Caenorhabditis elegans: one gene and its partner. The protein of the gene in region 1 interacts with the protein of each later gene in a pairwise test. Each region holds a gene or a part of one and is shown on either strand. Other genes may lie near its edges.

What was found. Proteins that work in one complex are often made in the same cells at the same time.
Region 2: the proteins of tsct-1 (region 1) and sqst-1 interact in a two-hybrid assay, tested with the Caenorhabditis elegans proteins (one large-scale study listed by BioGRID).

What each region holds. Positions count from the first base shown.
Region 1 is NC_003284.9:12,430,910-12,438,289, forward strand, and holds the start of tsct-1 (Protein tsct-1), read left to right. Parts: upstream 1-3,187; 5' UTR 3,188-3,244; coding exon 3,245-3,262; intron 3,263-5,727; exon of another isoform or gene 5,728-5,794; intron 5,795-6,549; coding exon 6,550-6,733; intron 6,734-6,952; coding exon 6,953-7,121; intron 7,122-7,380. Other genes in the region: med-1 (GATA-type domain-containing protein), read left to right, coding at 1-224.
Region 2 is NC_003282.8:12,031,101-12,038,518, forward strand, and holds sqst-1 (ZZ-type domain-containing protein), read left to right. Parts: upstream 1-3,181; coding exon 3,182-3,350; intron 3,351-3,659; coding exon 3,660-5,464; intron 5,465-5,512; coding exon 5,513-5,620; 3' UTR 5,621-5,791; downstream 5,792-7,418. Other genes in the region: T12G3.6 (RWD domain-containing protein), read right to left, coding at 47-171; mrpl-51 (Large ribosomal subunit protein mL51), read left to right, coding at 227-359, 408-772, 825-926.

The DNA.
Region 1 (7,380 bases):
CTACACCGAGCAATTCTGATAATAAGAAGTCATTTCAATGCTCAAATTGTTCAGTAACTGAAACAATTCGTTGGAGGAATATTCGATCAAAGGAAGGAATTCAATGTAATGCTTGTTTCATTTATCAACGGAAATATAATAAGACTCGTCCAGTCACTGCCGTTAACAAATATCAAAAAAGAAAATTAAAGGTACAGGAAACGAATGGTGTAGATTCATTTTAATGTAAATTACATCATTGTAAATTGTATAACTCAATTGTAATTTTATTGTTTTAAACCGGTAAAATGTTTTTAATTAATATGATTTCATAACTAATACATTTATATTTAATTCTTGTTCTCGATTTTAATTACATCATAACTCAAGATTTATAGAGGAATAAATTTAAAATTAACAAACCCTGTATCGTTTTGAACTTTTGTTCTTTGTTTTCCCAACAGCGCTGTTCATTTTTTTCAATCTCGTCAGCCAGAACAGCTTTATATATGCTTAGGATTTAGAGAATCCGACAGCGGAAACCAAACTTTTGCAGAAAAAAATTGTGGACGGGAGAGCGAGACAAAAAGGGCCGAAATGTGTTCTTCAGTCATTGCTTTGAAAGGTTTCACTTTTCTAGTGAGTTTTGTTTTTCGAAGAACTTTTTGAGCTGCACTATAATTCTTGTATTAGATGTTTGTTTTTCAATAATTTAGATTTAAATTTTTCTGTGATGTGTACTGTGACCATGCGATTGTCACCCACTAGAAATGTTGCATTCTGAGTCGGAAAATGATGCTTACTATTTTTAAAATTTCTCTCCAATTTTTCCGTGTTTATTGTCACAATCAACCCAAAAATAGAATATTAAATCAGTTGGTTTGCACTCGTCACTGAATTCTGATTCATTGTTTCGCATAAAGTTATAACACCTTCTCTAGTCACCCTAGTTTCCATTTGGCCTTCTGTCTGCTTTCTATAGGATTGGCTACATGGTACATACATCTGTTATTTGTCATGCTGTGTTCATCACAAAAACTTTACCCCATAAAAAGTGTCATACAAGGAACACGAATCATTGAGTGAAGTGTGACACAGTTTTCAATTATTTAACATTCGCTTTGTTTTAGTAGACTGCTGCTCTTTTTTCTTCAAAGTAAGATAATCTGGAGGACAGACAGGAAGTTGTTAAAGTGATGTATAAATATCGAATATGTTTAGTTGAATGCAGTTTTTTTCGAATAATTTGTTGCACAGCCCGTACTTGTTACACTAGTTACTTTTTCTCGAACTTTTGATGTAGCTTAATCATTTTCCCCTTTATTTTTTATGTAAGAGATAGTACTTGTAAAGTGTAAAACGTTATTCAATATATACCAAGAACAATTACACCCATATTCGAAAAAAAATAGTTGGGATTGTGATTTTTCTCTACCTATTTTCAACATTGCCAAATTAATACTTTGATAAATTCTCTAGATATATATATATATATATATAATATATATAGATACATTTGCATGTAGATCATTTTTCTCTGAGCTCCAAGGTTAAATTCCCAATTTGTGCAGGAAGATTTGCCCAAAATACCTGTCGATTCTGTTTTCAGCAAATTTGGAAAATCTGGAAGCATCCAATTGTTTGTTTGCAGCGCAGCCATTGGAATATTTTTATTTTTTAATTTTTTCCAGTCCACTTTTGTTTTGAAATTACAATTTTTGAAGTAATGTAAAAAGTAGAAAATAGCCTTGGGCAAACAAAACTTTGAAACAAAATTTCATTAACGTTTTTGCCCCCTTCCTCCGCCCATTTCCTCTTCTCATCCCATTCGAATTTTACCCCATTGGGAATTTCAATTCTTGTATCAGTTTTGTTCTTTTTTAGTTTTAAGAAAATTGGCATATATTTTTGAAAAAACGTCATTTTGATCTTGCAGAACAGCTCTGTTTTGTTTTGTGTCGGGTGGTACCCTAACACCATCATTCTTTCATTCAACCCATAAAAGCCAGCCGTCACAGAGGAACACATTTGAAAAAAAGGGTTCCGCGTCTTTTTAGCTTTTAACTACCATCTGCTCTCTTCCAAAAAAGGACATTGAGTGCTCATTTAATTTTTCTGCTCATTTGTTGATTGGGTTTTTCTACACTTTGACATTCTTTAAAATTATAATTAAAAATAAAATCTTTAAAAATAAAATAGAAAACAAGACGAAAAACATCCTCATAACTCCCTAAAACTAGTGTTTATCGGATTAGATACACATAGAGACGTTCGAGAAATTCAATTTTTTTATCTCATCGTTTACGTATTTTATGTATTTGCACATGTGCGATGAGCATTATTTATGTTACAACAAACCCGTTTTTCCTCATATTTCATCTTGCCATTCTCATTTATTTTCTTATTTATGATATTTGAAAATAACAGAAATTATTTTTACTCTTAATCAGATGAAATACTTTGCAAATATCATAAATGTTATAATTAAAACAATTGAAATTTTTGTTGCGAATATTTAAAACATACAAAAAAACGAAAAAATAAACATACTTAATGTTCCTAGTGAATATCAAATTTCTCTGTGCGTCCGCAAATGCATCACGTGGTTTTGTTCACAATTTCAATTAAAAAACTTCTTGAACTTTAAAAATATGTGTTCACACATTAATTAATTTTCACAAGATCTGTAACATGGGGCATAATTTTTGTGAATTTACCAATCAATCATTAATATAAGATAGTTTCACGTAAGTTCAACGCAAGTTTAAAAGTGATAAAAAAAATCAAATTTTGCATTCAACTTTGCAAATTTGTTCTCAGGATGAAACTTCTTGAAAATTTCACAAAAGTGTTTTTTCTTTTTCTTTTTAACGGTTGAAAAGTTTAACAAAAAAATACTCAATATAGCAAAATTCTAAAATTTTATCAACTTTACCCTGTTGTAGAAATTGAGATTAAACTAGCGAATTTTTCATAAACGACACAAAATTTCAAAATGAGGTTGTGATTAAATAATAATATTTTTTCCAGTCGCTCCGCGGACAAGTGGCCTAAATTTAAGATTCCTGCGGAACCTCAATTTTTAAAATTTTTTACTCAAATAAAAAGCAGAACCGTTACTCCTTCTTATGGTTTGCGTTTATATCTTCACAACTTTTTTTGCTCTCTATTGTCAATAACGTTGGTTTTACAAGATACAAATAACTTAAAGTTTCAGGGTAGTTACAGCTAAAAGAGACCGCAGCAAGGGATCCTGTCACTGAGAATGTTCATCTTTGCCGCAGTAAGTGTTCATTTTTAAGATAAACCACATGACCTTGTCTCCTTATGATCTGCCTGATCAAACAACCGGCTCTTCGTTGTCAATGACCTCGTGTTTATGTATGTGTTTTGTTTATCTCCAGCACGTTTTCCAAATCTAAACGTTTTTGATGGTTGGTTGAGAAAGAGAAACTCTACGCAATTTTGTTGTCCTTTCGTTTTGCTTCTTCACCGTCGCCAATGTAAAACGCGTGACTGCCGCGAAACAAACTCTAAAATACAGAAATCGTGAGTCAACTGTAATTTTTTCGACGATTTCCTTTCTGATTCAATTCCACATATCGATTTTTAGAATGACACCGATTTGCATGAATTATCCGTACCCCCGTCAGTCTGAACAGCAACTTTTCTTTTTAACTTTTTGATTTCTGTTGTTTAATCAAGTGCTTTTTGCGTTCATAAAATATAAGAATAAACAATAACTAAAATTAGAATTTCTTATTTTTACGTATTTTTCCTTCAACAGCATATCAATTTAATTTGAAAATAATTTGTCTTGTTCAATGTTAGGAATTTCGCAAACGTTTAGTTGCCATATGTACAAAGATATGTATAAAGAATGTGGAACATTTTCTTTCAAAAATTGAAAATAATTTATTCTAGTAACATTTTTGAACACATAAATTTCAAGTATAATCTTGAAATTTTTTCATGTCGTTAAAAAATCAAATGCAACGTAATTTGAAACACCTACATTGTGAGACTTTTGCAGAAAACAAAGTTAAAGGTCAATGAGACCCTCCGAATACGAGTGCCAAAAGTATTCAATTAAATTTCCAGTTTTTACGCGATGAAAAACACCAATCAACAATGAGCCAAAAGTGTGGTGTGCTGCTCTTTTCCAAGCGTAACATTTAAATTGAACTTCTGTTTGAAAAATGAGGAGAGCATATAGAGCCAAATGATACAAAACCACTCTCATGATATTAGAATTTCCGACTCCTACCCCGACCCGACCGACCCAAAAAATGGGGCGACCCACTCCACAGGCCTAGTCTTACATCCCTACGGACCAATTGAAAATTAGTCTTGCATGCAAGAATAATAGAGAAAGCTTCAAAGCTAATTTGTTCAAAAACAATTTCCTTTTTGGATCTTCTCCGCCTTCAAACTCCAGTTCAGAATGTTATGTGTCCAATTTTCTTTTGCACGTTCGCTCAAGAGTACACATGACAACTACATATTATCTTTTTTATCAGTTCGTCATTTGATTTGATCGCTATTCATGTGCCCTTTTCATATTTACTCTTCGCAACTCTTTTGTGAGCACCATTGTTGCAACCACAACTTGCATAATTACTACAGAATCGAAGTTTCAAAAAAAGATTGCATTCTATCTCGCGCTCCCATGCGCTTTTTTCGTTTTATTTGCGATTGAAAAATAGCTTTCCTGCTTTGCGGGCTATGCAGAGCAGTAGTTTTCAATGGTTTTGTCTGGGCACACAGAGAAGCGTACAGTGTGATTGAAAAAGTGGGGTAGCAGCCAGTATAGAGCAAGAGAAATGTACAGCATTCAATTTTTCATTCGTTTTCTATTTTGCTCTTATAAACTGTGACATTTCTAGTGACTGAAAACGAGAAATCGCAGTGTCTTGTTTAAAACTCCCTCAAAATCTTTCTCTCTGAAATAATAATTCAGAAGAATTATATATTTTTCTTTTTGACAATGACTTCAAATATAATCTCAGAAATCTTACAATTCACTGGAATGTCACAGTCATAATCTCGTATTATTTGTATCTGAAATAGACGTTATTGCGCCATGTCTAGGTGGCTTTGTTAGAGAAAATACGCGTTTTTCTTAGCTCATCTATTTTTTTTTCTTCTTGCAAAAAGCTGACTTCTTGTTGCATATTCATTGAACGTTAGCTTTTTTGGCAAAGGTTTATGTAGGATTATTTGTAAGACTTGAGTTTTAAGCTCTAAGAATTTGAAAAAAGGTATGAAAAGCTACCAAGTTTTTCATTTTTCTAGTTACGAAAATTGGCTTTCTCTTTTTTTCCTTCCAAACTAGTAGAAAAAGCACTGCCATTGAAATTAAAAAAAACAGTTTTCAACAATTTTTCACAAAGCGGAAAACTTGAAAAATAAATGCTTTTTTAAGTTAAGAAAATATGTCGTCACAAAAGTTCTTGCAGATTTTGCACTGTGCTTTCATAAAGTTATTGGGCTTTCTTGAACTGTTGTTAGTTGTCCTTGATGTACTTCAAACTTTCATAAATTCCTTTTCCAATTACAGCGTTCTCAAACTATTAAAAAAATATGATTCAATAACTGTCTGCACCATTTAGAGAGAGAGAGAAACTAAGCGTTCCTTTCTTTCCTGAAAAAAAAACAAAGTCTCATGGGTTTACTCAGATGACAAAGTAACACAAAAAAACAGAAAAAAAACTCCAAAGTTTCCGTGCCAAAAGTTGCGCCGTCGTGTCTATTTACTTGACACACTTGCCATCACACTTGAGCAAGTACAGCTGTTCCTCAGCACCGCGAGCACTTTTTCGAGAAAATTGAAATTACGTGTCAATTCATGTCTCCCACAGCAGTTCATCAATCATTTGCTGCATGTTGCGACCAATTTATCTTTTCGTTTTTTGTTCAAATTTGAAACAGAAATTTCGAATAAGGGTTCTTGAGTGTAATCAGTCAACGATTGTGATTTTTAATGCGATAAAAAATCCAGCATATTTTTTGAAACTTATCTTTGCCATTTTTCTTCAAAACAATTTTTAATTTGCTCACCTAACCAAATTAAAGGCGAAAGATGTTTTTTTTAATATAAAAATGTCGTACGTTTTGTTTCCCAAAATACATTAATTCAAATCTATTTTGGTCAAATCGTTGTAACTTTTGTTCATATCTGTCTTGTCCACGGCGCAAAAATGTTATCAAATTTTGCTAATTAGTCATCAACTTTTTTTAATTTCATAGGTTCTAATGGCATTAGTTAAACGATGTGTACAAAGATGTAATTATACGCTTTTCAAATATATGCAAATTTTTCTTGATTAACTATGTGTCCAAACGACTAAAAACCGTTAATCTTACTGTTAATTGAAAAAAAGTATTTGAATCTGTTATAAGTCATCATAATTTTACCAAAAATCTAAAAGTTTCAATTTATCTTTAGTAGAACAAATGTATATTTTAATTCTTGTTTGTGAAAGTACAGATTTTCTTGTTTTATACACTACTTCTAAAATGCTAAAATGTTTTATTGTCTATTTATTACTTATTTTTTCAACTTTTCAGGCTTTCCAACAGAACACAATAATAATGAGTACTACTTCCAATGAAGCATCTGTGATTGAGGTCGTTCCTCCAAATGCAAACTGTGACAAGCCGAAGAAGAAATTCCAAGTTGTTCCGGTTCCAGGAGAGTTTACACGTGGCAGATGGAAAGTGATTGATACCAGATTTGGGTCGGCAATGGGAGGTTAGTTTAACTACTTGAAAACGAATAATTTATCAATTTAGAAGAAAATCAATAAATTTATTAGATACCAGTTCAAAATTCCGAGCATAGAAGTACGTGTTTTAGTACGTGTTTTTAAAAAAATGTTTGAGGTTGTTGAAGTACCAGTGAAAATCTTTTTTCAAAATTATTGATTAAAAAAAAATAAACTGGACAATAAACACAATTTATTTTTTTCAGAATTTGGAAATTATCCTCCAGAAGACGAGTACAAGATGATCGTAACAAGCAAAAACAATGTGATCACCGTCCGAAAGAAATTCCCTCGGCCGACAACAGTCACCTCTGCTCCAATTCTCGGAGCAGAAGAGGCGGACAGCATTCGTGTGCTACAAAAAAGTCAGCCGCGGTGAGTGATCTCACATAAATAAACCCAGATTTAAAATCTTAATATCCAAAGCAATCACGTGAGATAATGCGCGCGCGCGTCAGTAGACTTTGAAAGGTGGCTAGAAAAGTCTCTGGAGAATTGGCAAGGCGTTGAAAAGCGGGCGGCTTTCAAGTAAAAAATAATACCCAAAAAATATCGAGTTTCAGACGAACTCTTTGCTTTCGTTTCTTTTTTTGCGTAACTAAAAGGCATTTAGAATTTTTATTATTTTCGCAAC
Region 2 (7,418 bases), on another chromosome or scaffold:
AAACAAAATACACGCAGGAGAAAAAAAATTGTACAAAATTACTCACGTTTGCGCAATGTCATCGCAATCTAACTCCTCGAAAACAAAAATTCCCGCACTTTTCAAATGGTAGATCACTATTTCTCTAGGAAGATCAAATATATTTTTACTGCATTCTTGTTCTTTATTCATGAATTCAGCGTGTTCGTTTTTGTTTTCTTTTAATAATCTATTAAGTTTTCAGGTGATGAATTCCAATTCTCTATCACGATTCACATCAATCGTGAGAACGACATCGATCCGCGGATTTCATGATCGAAGCTCAGTGCCACGGGTCGTCGATGATCGCGAAAAGTCTTCAGCAAAATATAATGATGCCGGTGAGACATATATTTAATTTTTTCAAATAAAAACTTTCACATTTTCAGGTTACACGTTCCGTTATCACCAACAAGGCGTAGATCCGCTACCTCGTATTCCTGATTGTAAAGTCCCAGTAGCACGTCCAGCATACAAAGTTCGTGATCAATGGAGTGACGAAGCTGCTCGCTTCGGTCAAAACGACTATATTGATCTTCTCGGTGATGGATCAGTTCATCCTGCACAACTTCAATATCACACGCCAACTTGGCTTCGTGGATTCCCAGGACAACATAAAGCAAATGAGCTCATCAAACTTATTCACTATCGAAATCTGTATGATGCTAAATTGAAACAAAATTCACCGAAAAGATGGCACGAGCTAAGAAAGAGAATCAAGTATTTAATGATGCAGCACAATTATAACAAACAGGTTGGATTTTTTTTTAATATGTTTTTTTTTAAATCCAAATTATTTGCTTCAGGATGAGATCGGTCGAGAACGCAACTTGGGATTATGGGAAGAGGAGCCCGACTACACTTACAAGGACAAATCACGAAGATCATTCAAAGATGAAATCCATTAGATTTATATTGCTTGTTTTTAGCTGTTGTAGAATTATTTTTGTTGTTACTATCTGAATTTTTAATATTAATTTTCGAATCTTAGGGAACATCGAGATCATTCGTGGCATATCATAAAGTTTAAGCTTCCAGTCCGTAATAGATTGCTTTGAAGGGGTCCAGTTTGAGAAGTTGCAGGTGTTTTTCGTTTCGGAAAAAATCGAGATTTCCTGAAATGCGACTGTCATGAGTCAAATTTCAGAAAATTCCACGTTTCAATTTCGATGTTAGATTATAGAGACCTTTCTAGCTTCCCATTTCACAACAAACCCCTCTTCATCATCATGACGTCATACAGTCTCGTTCTCTTCTCCAAATATAAATGATCAGCTGTACAGTCACTAAATGCAGCATATCAGTACCTTATCAATTGATAGCATCACCACATGTTCATCTCGCCTCAAATTCAAAAAAAAAGCAACACTTCACTCCTAAAACAGTTCCATTTTCGGTCGATAAACCATCGATTCCCCGTTCACTCAGCTGTGCGTATTTTCTCGTCATTCGTCTCTTTCTCACAGCCTACACTATTCGCGAAGCCGTCTGCAATCTGCGTCTCACCTTGGGCCCTATGCAGAGGGACAATCAATCGGCCTAGAGGAGGCTGGTCATGTGTTTATGCATAGAAATATCGAGAAAGAATGCGAGACACAGAGATGAAGAGGCATCATTCGGCCTCATTTTGCCCATAGCAACACTTACACTCGTAGGCTCGGTAGTGGAATGTTCCAGATGAATACTCTTGCTTTGACACGATATTTAAGTAGGAAATTCCTTTTCTAAAATCTAAAACTAGCAATTTCTTGCGGTTGTGTAACCGAATCAAATATTCGAAAATTAGCAAAATTTCGCAATGAATATTCTCGTTTTTTGGCAAACCGTTTCTTTTTTGTCATTTTGACTATTACACAGTCTCCTCCAGTGGAAATCGGTCCGTTGGCGCACTTCTCGTGCATCGCGTGGAAAATTGAGAAATTACCAAAACTTTCAATTTACTGTTTTTCTTTATATTTTTCATAACATAAGCTTGGGTGGAAGATTACTTTTCAAATAAACATCAATTTCTACTAGAAAAATGATGATAAATATACAAAATATGAGAAAAACTCAATTTTTAGTTGTTTTTACTTTTTATATCAGCGCTTTTATTTTTGAACCAAAATCAAAAAACTTTTTTCTCCACCTTTCCCCGAATTAGCTTTACAATTGATACCTAATTTCAAAGTATGAAATCGATTTTAAACCCACAAAAACCGAAGGAAATCATTTTTCAGTGGTAAAATTTTGCAACGCTCACGAGAAACGCGCAAGCCCCCTTGTTGGGTCATTTCCACGTGAGGAGGCTGTGTATTATCCTTTCTGATTTTTTCCGTCAAAAATACGGTACCCGGTCTCAACACGCTTTTTTGTTGTAAAATACAAGCAAGTATGCGCCTTTAAAGAGTACTGTAATTTCAAACGTTTTTTGCTGCTTAATTGTTTTCCTTAACAATTTATTTGTTTATTTAAAGACTAAAAATTGAAATTTAAAAGCACAGAATTGTTTTAGAAAAAAGTTTTAGAATACAGTACCGGTTGGAATTTGAAAAAAATTGTCGTGTCGAGACCGGGTACCGTAGTTTTGGCGCAAAAATCACAACATTTCGCGTATGGATAATATTTAATTGCATTTTTACATAACTTTCTTGTAGGCCCAACAGTACCTACTTGCCTGCCTACAGGCAACTCTCTACTGCTACTAAATTTTTGACGCCTTCACGAAATTAGTCACTTATGATAATGAAAGTTTATATTTTAGTTCTAGAGAATCTGTTCAACTAGATCCTAACAAAAATAGTCTCCAAGAAATTTAGATGAATGATAATAAAAACTTGTTGGAAGTGATCTACTAGATCTAGATACCACCTTGAACTTTGAAGCCTTGAGTGTTTTTCTTTTCATATCTCCGTTCTTGCCCCCTTTGTTCATCTCGTAAACATCTTTAAAGGTTCCAAAAATAGTACATTTCCTTTTTGTTGTTGCATTATTCTCCAAAAAAATGAATTATGGTTTCAATTTCTTACACAATACAATCATTATGATGATTATTCGAAGTATAATATTTCGAAATTTCCTTTTTTCGATTTCGCAACTCTCGCAACTCAATAATGTCAATACTTGTTCTATTATCTTTCACTCTCTTTTCACTCACTTTCAAATAACTTCTCATTTTACTCAGATGGCTGCTGCATCATCCGCTCCTCACCAAATGCAAGTTCGTGTGACTTTCTATACAAGTCACAATCCGCAATCGGTTCTCATGATTTTGAAGAACGATCAGGCTCTTCAACAGATCTCCGAGAAGGCAAGAGAACTGTTCCCATCGGCTGATTATCGTCTCTACTACGGTAAGATATTATACTTTTGTTTTTGCCCCGTTTGCTAGACGAATCAATTGTGCAAATAGAGTATTTGTATGCCACACCTATGTTATGACAAAAAAGTACGGTGCCCGGTCTCGGCACGATTGAAATTTTTAATGGACGTTCCGAGGAAGAGTGTGCGCCTTTAAACAAACCATTTTTTTAAATTTAAAGTTTAACTAGATTTAAAAGGTCGTTATTTTTGTAAAACTCAATTTAATTAGATTATATTTAAGATTTCTAATTTCCCTAGATATCTCACAGTAACTTTTTTCCAAATCTTCAAATTTTCAGGTGATGTCAACGGACCAATCTTTGAGTTCACCAATTCGGATCAGATTATGTCTAAGATTCGAATCACTACATTCTCTCGAACTCCTCAACTTTTTGTTCGCCTGGAAACTGTTCCCCTTCGTCCAACAGCCCTACCATCAGTGAGCACTGAAACTGCCAAAAAAGCTTCCGATGCTGATCGTGAATCAAAGAGCAGATCCTCGCTGAAGCGTATCGAGAACAACCAGGAGCTCACATTGAAGACGCTGGAGAAGTTGCAAAAGGAGCTCTCAAGAGTTAGCGCTTTGGAGACGATGGTTGCTGATCTTCATGCAAAGGAAAGAGAACCTGTTGTCGAGGAAGTTCAGAAGCCATTCCCTCCAGTGAAGCACTCGGCGTCTTGTGATGCTTGCCTCGGTGACATCATCGGACATAGGTTCAAGTGTCTCGAATGTGCCGATTATGATTTGTGCGAGAAGTGTGAGAGAAAATCTTTACATTATGAGCATGCAATGATCAGAATTGTGGAGCCAAAGAAAACAATGATCCCATCATATGTGACATCAAACTCTCCGAACAATGTCTTCCCAACTTACATGCAGCACAAGATCCAACAACCACAAACTATCAAGGGGATCAACAAGACTGTTATCACGAGACTCGTTCCTTCACATCAAGTTAATCCAGCTCCAATGCCTCAAGCTCCACCAGTCTCCACTCCAGTTCCATTCCCTCCATCTCCAACCATCGGAAATGGAGCAGTTCCAAAACCAGCCCAGGAGCCTCGGATCCCACCATCTCCAACTTCTGCTCTACCACCACCACAATTCTTCAATGAGGAGACCCGTGCAGCCATTATTAATAGTGCAGCGTTGCTCAAGGAAACTTTCAGTACTTTGAGCAGAAGCTTCTTGGATTTGGCAGATGGTGCACAGGCCAATATGGATAAAAAGATCATTGAACGCTCGACCATGGAAGCAGGAATGACCAAATTCGAAGAGAAAATGGATAATTTGAAAAGACACTGTGAGGAGAAATATCTTGGAACGGAAACTGCTGAAGCTGAGAAGAGCGAGGAATCTTCGAAGAAGCAAGCAGATAGCTTGTCTGGACCAAAGATCAAGAAGGCTAAGAAGAAGTCCTGCTACAAGAAATCTGCCGAGAGACTATTCACAATGCAACTTGCTGCGGCGGCTGCTGAGCAAGCCCGTCTTGAACAAGAAGCCAAGAAAAGAGCTGAAGCCAGCTCTGCTGAATTACAGAGGAAACTTGCTGAGCTTAATGTGAAGGAATCTCAATCAAAATCCGAGGAAAACATTGCTGACTTTGTCCTATACGATCTTTACGGAAACTCCTTGGAAGCTTTGTTGAGAGGTCGTTCGAGCTCTAGAATCGCCGATCCTCCGACCACTCCAAATACCGAACCAGCCACCACAGAGTTAGCTTCAACGACCTCTGCAACTCCAGCCGTCACTGCTCCAGCATCAATTGTTCCAGTTACTCCAACTGCACCAATTGTTGAAACTCTGATCGTTCCACCACTTCCACCAGTGGAATCAAATCCAGAAGAGGTTACACCAATGGTGACTGCACCAATCTCAATTCACTCTTCTTTCGAGAACATTTCTTCGGATTTCGAGAGCCTCAGTCCATCATGGGGAGGATACCCAGATTTGGAAGCTGCACAACGTCTAGAAGTCATCGATGATAACTTACTCGACTTCTCTGATGTTGCTGTTGAAGCCCAGGAAGCTCAAGAAGCTCAAGAAGAAGCTCGCCCAGAGCCAGAGCAATCTCTACCACCATTTAATGAGGAAACTGAAAAGGTAAATCTAAATGTCGTCCATGAATCCCCTAATCTAACGAATTTTCAGACATTCGATCGTCTCCTTGAGATGGGATTCTCCTACAACGTCACTGTTGCTGCAATCAGAGCAAATGGATCGAATCTCGAGATGTGTCTTCAGGCGCTTCTTCACTAATTTGTACATCCTGTATCGTGTCGCCCAACCAACTCTCTCCTAGATACTATTAGTCATTTTCATCATTCCAATGGAAAGCTGTATCTATTTTTTCTCGTCTTGAACCTGAAAATGTTGCTTTTGCGTAAATTGCTTTTTTAATAATCTGAAATTAATAAAGTTGTGGCGAAAAATTATTGTCAGCTGGTTTATTTCAAGTATGGTGTTGCTTTCTGAAACTTGGAGGCTGAATTTTTCTTACATCTGTAGAATTTTATCACATTTCGAATAATTTCAGATAATTTTTTAAAAAACCTTTTCCAAAACAAACTATGAAAAATAAACTTCAAAACATCAACTAGTTCTATTCTCAGGTTGAATATCATTCATTACCAAAAGAGTTAAAGCGTTTTCCAGAAAAAGTTTCGATAATTTTCCAAAAGCCAATTCGAATATTTTCAGCAAGTCGCCGCGTACATTTAGAAGCATCTATCATCTTTGGCATATGGAAGCGAACAGCTTTGAGCAATACGTTTTTTCAGTACAGTTACAAAATCCCATTTTTCTCATCGTTGCATCGAAGATTTTTTCAAAAATTTATATAGCAATAAATAACAATATGTGTACATTTTGAAAATACTTTTACTTTAGATGGAAAGTTTCGAAAATTTGCTCAAAAACCGGCTCAAATATCAAAGTGCAAATCGGCGCATGCCACATTTCGATTTTTAGGCAGTTTTTCAGTAACTTTTTGAAATTTTCGATCCAAAGTGAAATCATTTTCAGAGAGTACAAGCATTTCTCTATATGTCTATATAAAGTTCCAGAAAGTAATTTTGACACAACATGGAGAAAAGTACAATTCGGGAAATGTGCCAAAAAAATGATCGCACACATCTGCTGGCTTCCATATTTCAAAGATGACATATGCTATCAAAACAAAATAAAGTAATAATGATTGTATAAACATTTGTTTATTTTGAAACTTAAATACACATTAGTTTCAGAAAAGTTACATACTGTCTTTTGCAATTATTGATTTTTGCTCATAAAAGCAACATTTCTGCTTAGAATTTTGAAAAAGGTTCACTATTTCGAGTCCTCTATTAGATTCTGAAAGAATTTTTCAAAAATGTTGGCCCATCTCCAAAATCGTCCTCCGCTCTGAAAAACGAAAGTGGACCTTTGCCTTCCAAAAAGTGGGGAAAAAAATGAAATTGATCTTTTTGGGCCGAAAAAAATGTTTTTAGAATGCTGAGAACACGTTAAACACGAATATATATATATTCTGAAAATGTCTAAAATGGATTTTAAAAAAGCATAGATTTATTTTTCATTTTCAACGTGAAAGTTTTGTGTAGATTTTATATTCCAAAAGAATCTCAAAATTTAGAGACTAAACTTTCACGTTGAAAATGAAAAATAAATCTATGCTTTTTTAAATCCATTTCAGACATTTTCAGAATATCGGGATCTTAAAATAAACATGATATTCGTGTTTAACGTGTTCTCAGCATTCTAAAAACATTTTTTTTCGGCCAAAAAGCTCAATTTCATTTTTTTTTGCCCATTTTATGGAAGGCAAAGGTCCACTTTCGTTTTTCAGAGAGGAGGACGATTTTGGAGATGGGCCAACATTTTTGAAAAATTCTTTCAGAATCTAATAGAGGACTCGAAATAGTGAAAATTCTAAGCAGAAATGTTGCTTTTATGAGCAAAAATCAATAATTGCAAAAGACAGTATGTAACTTTTCTGAAACTAATGTGTATTTAAGTTTCAAAATAAACAAATGTTTATACAATCATTATTACTTTATTT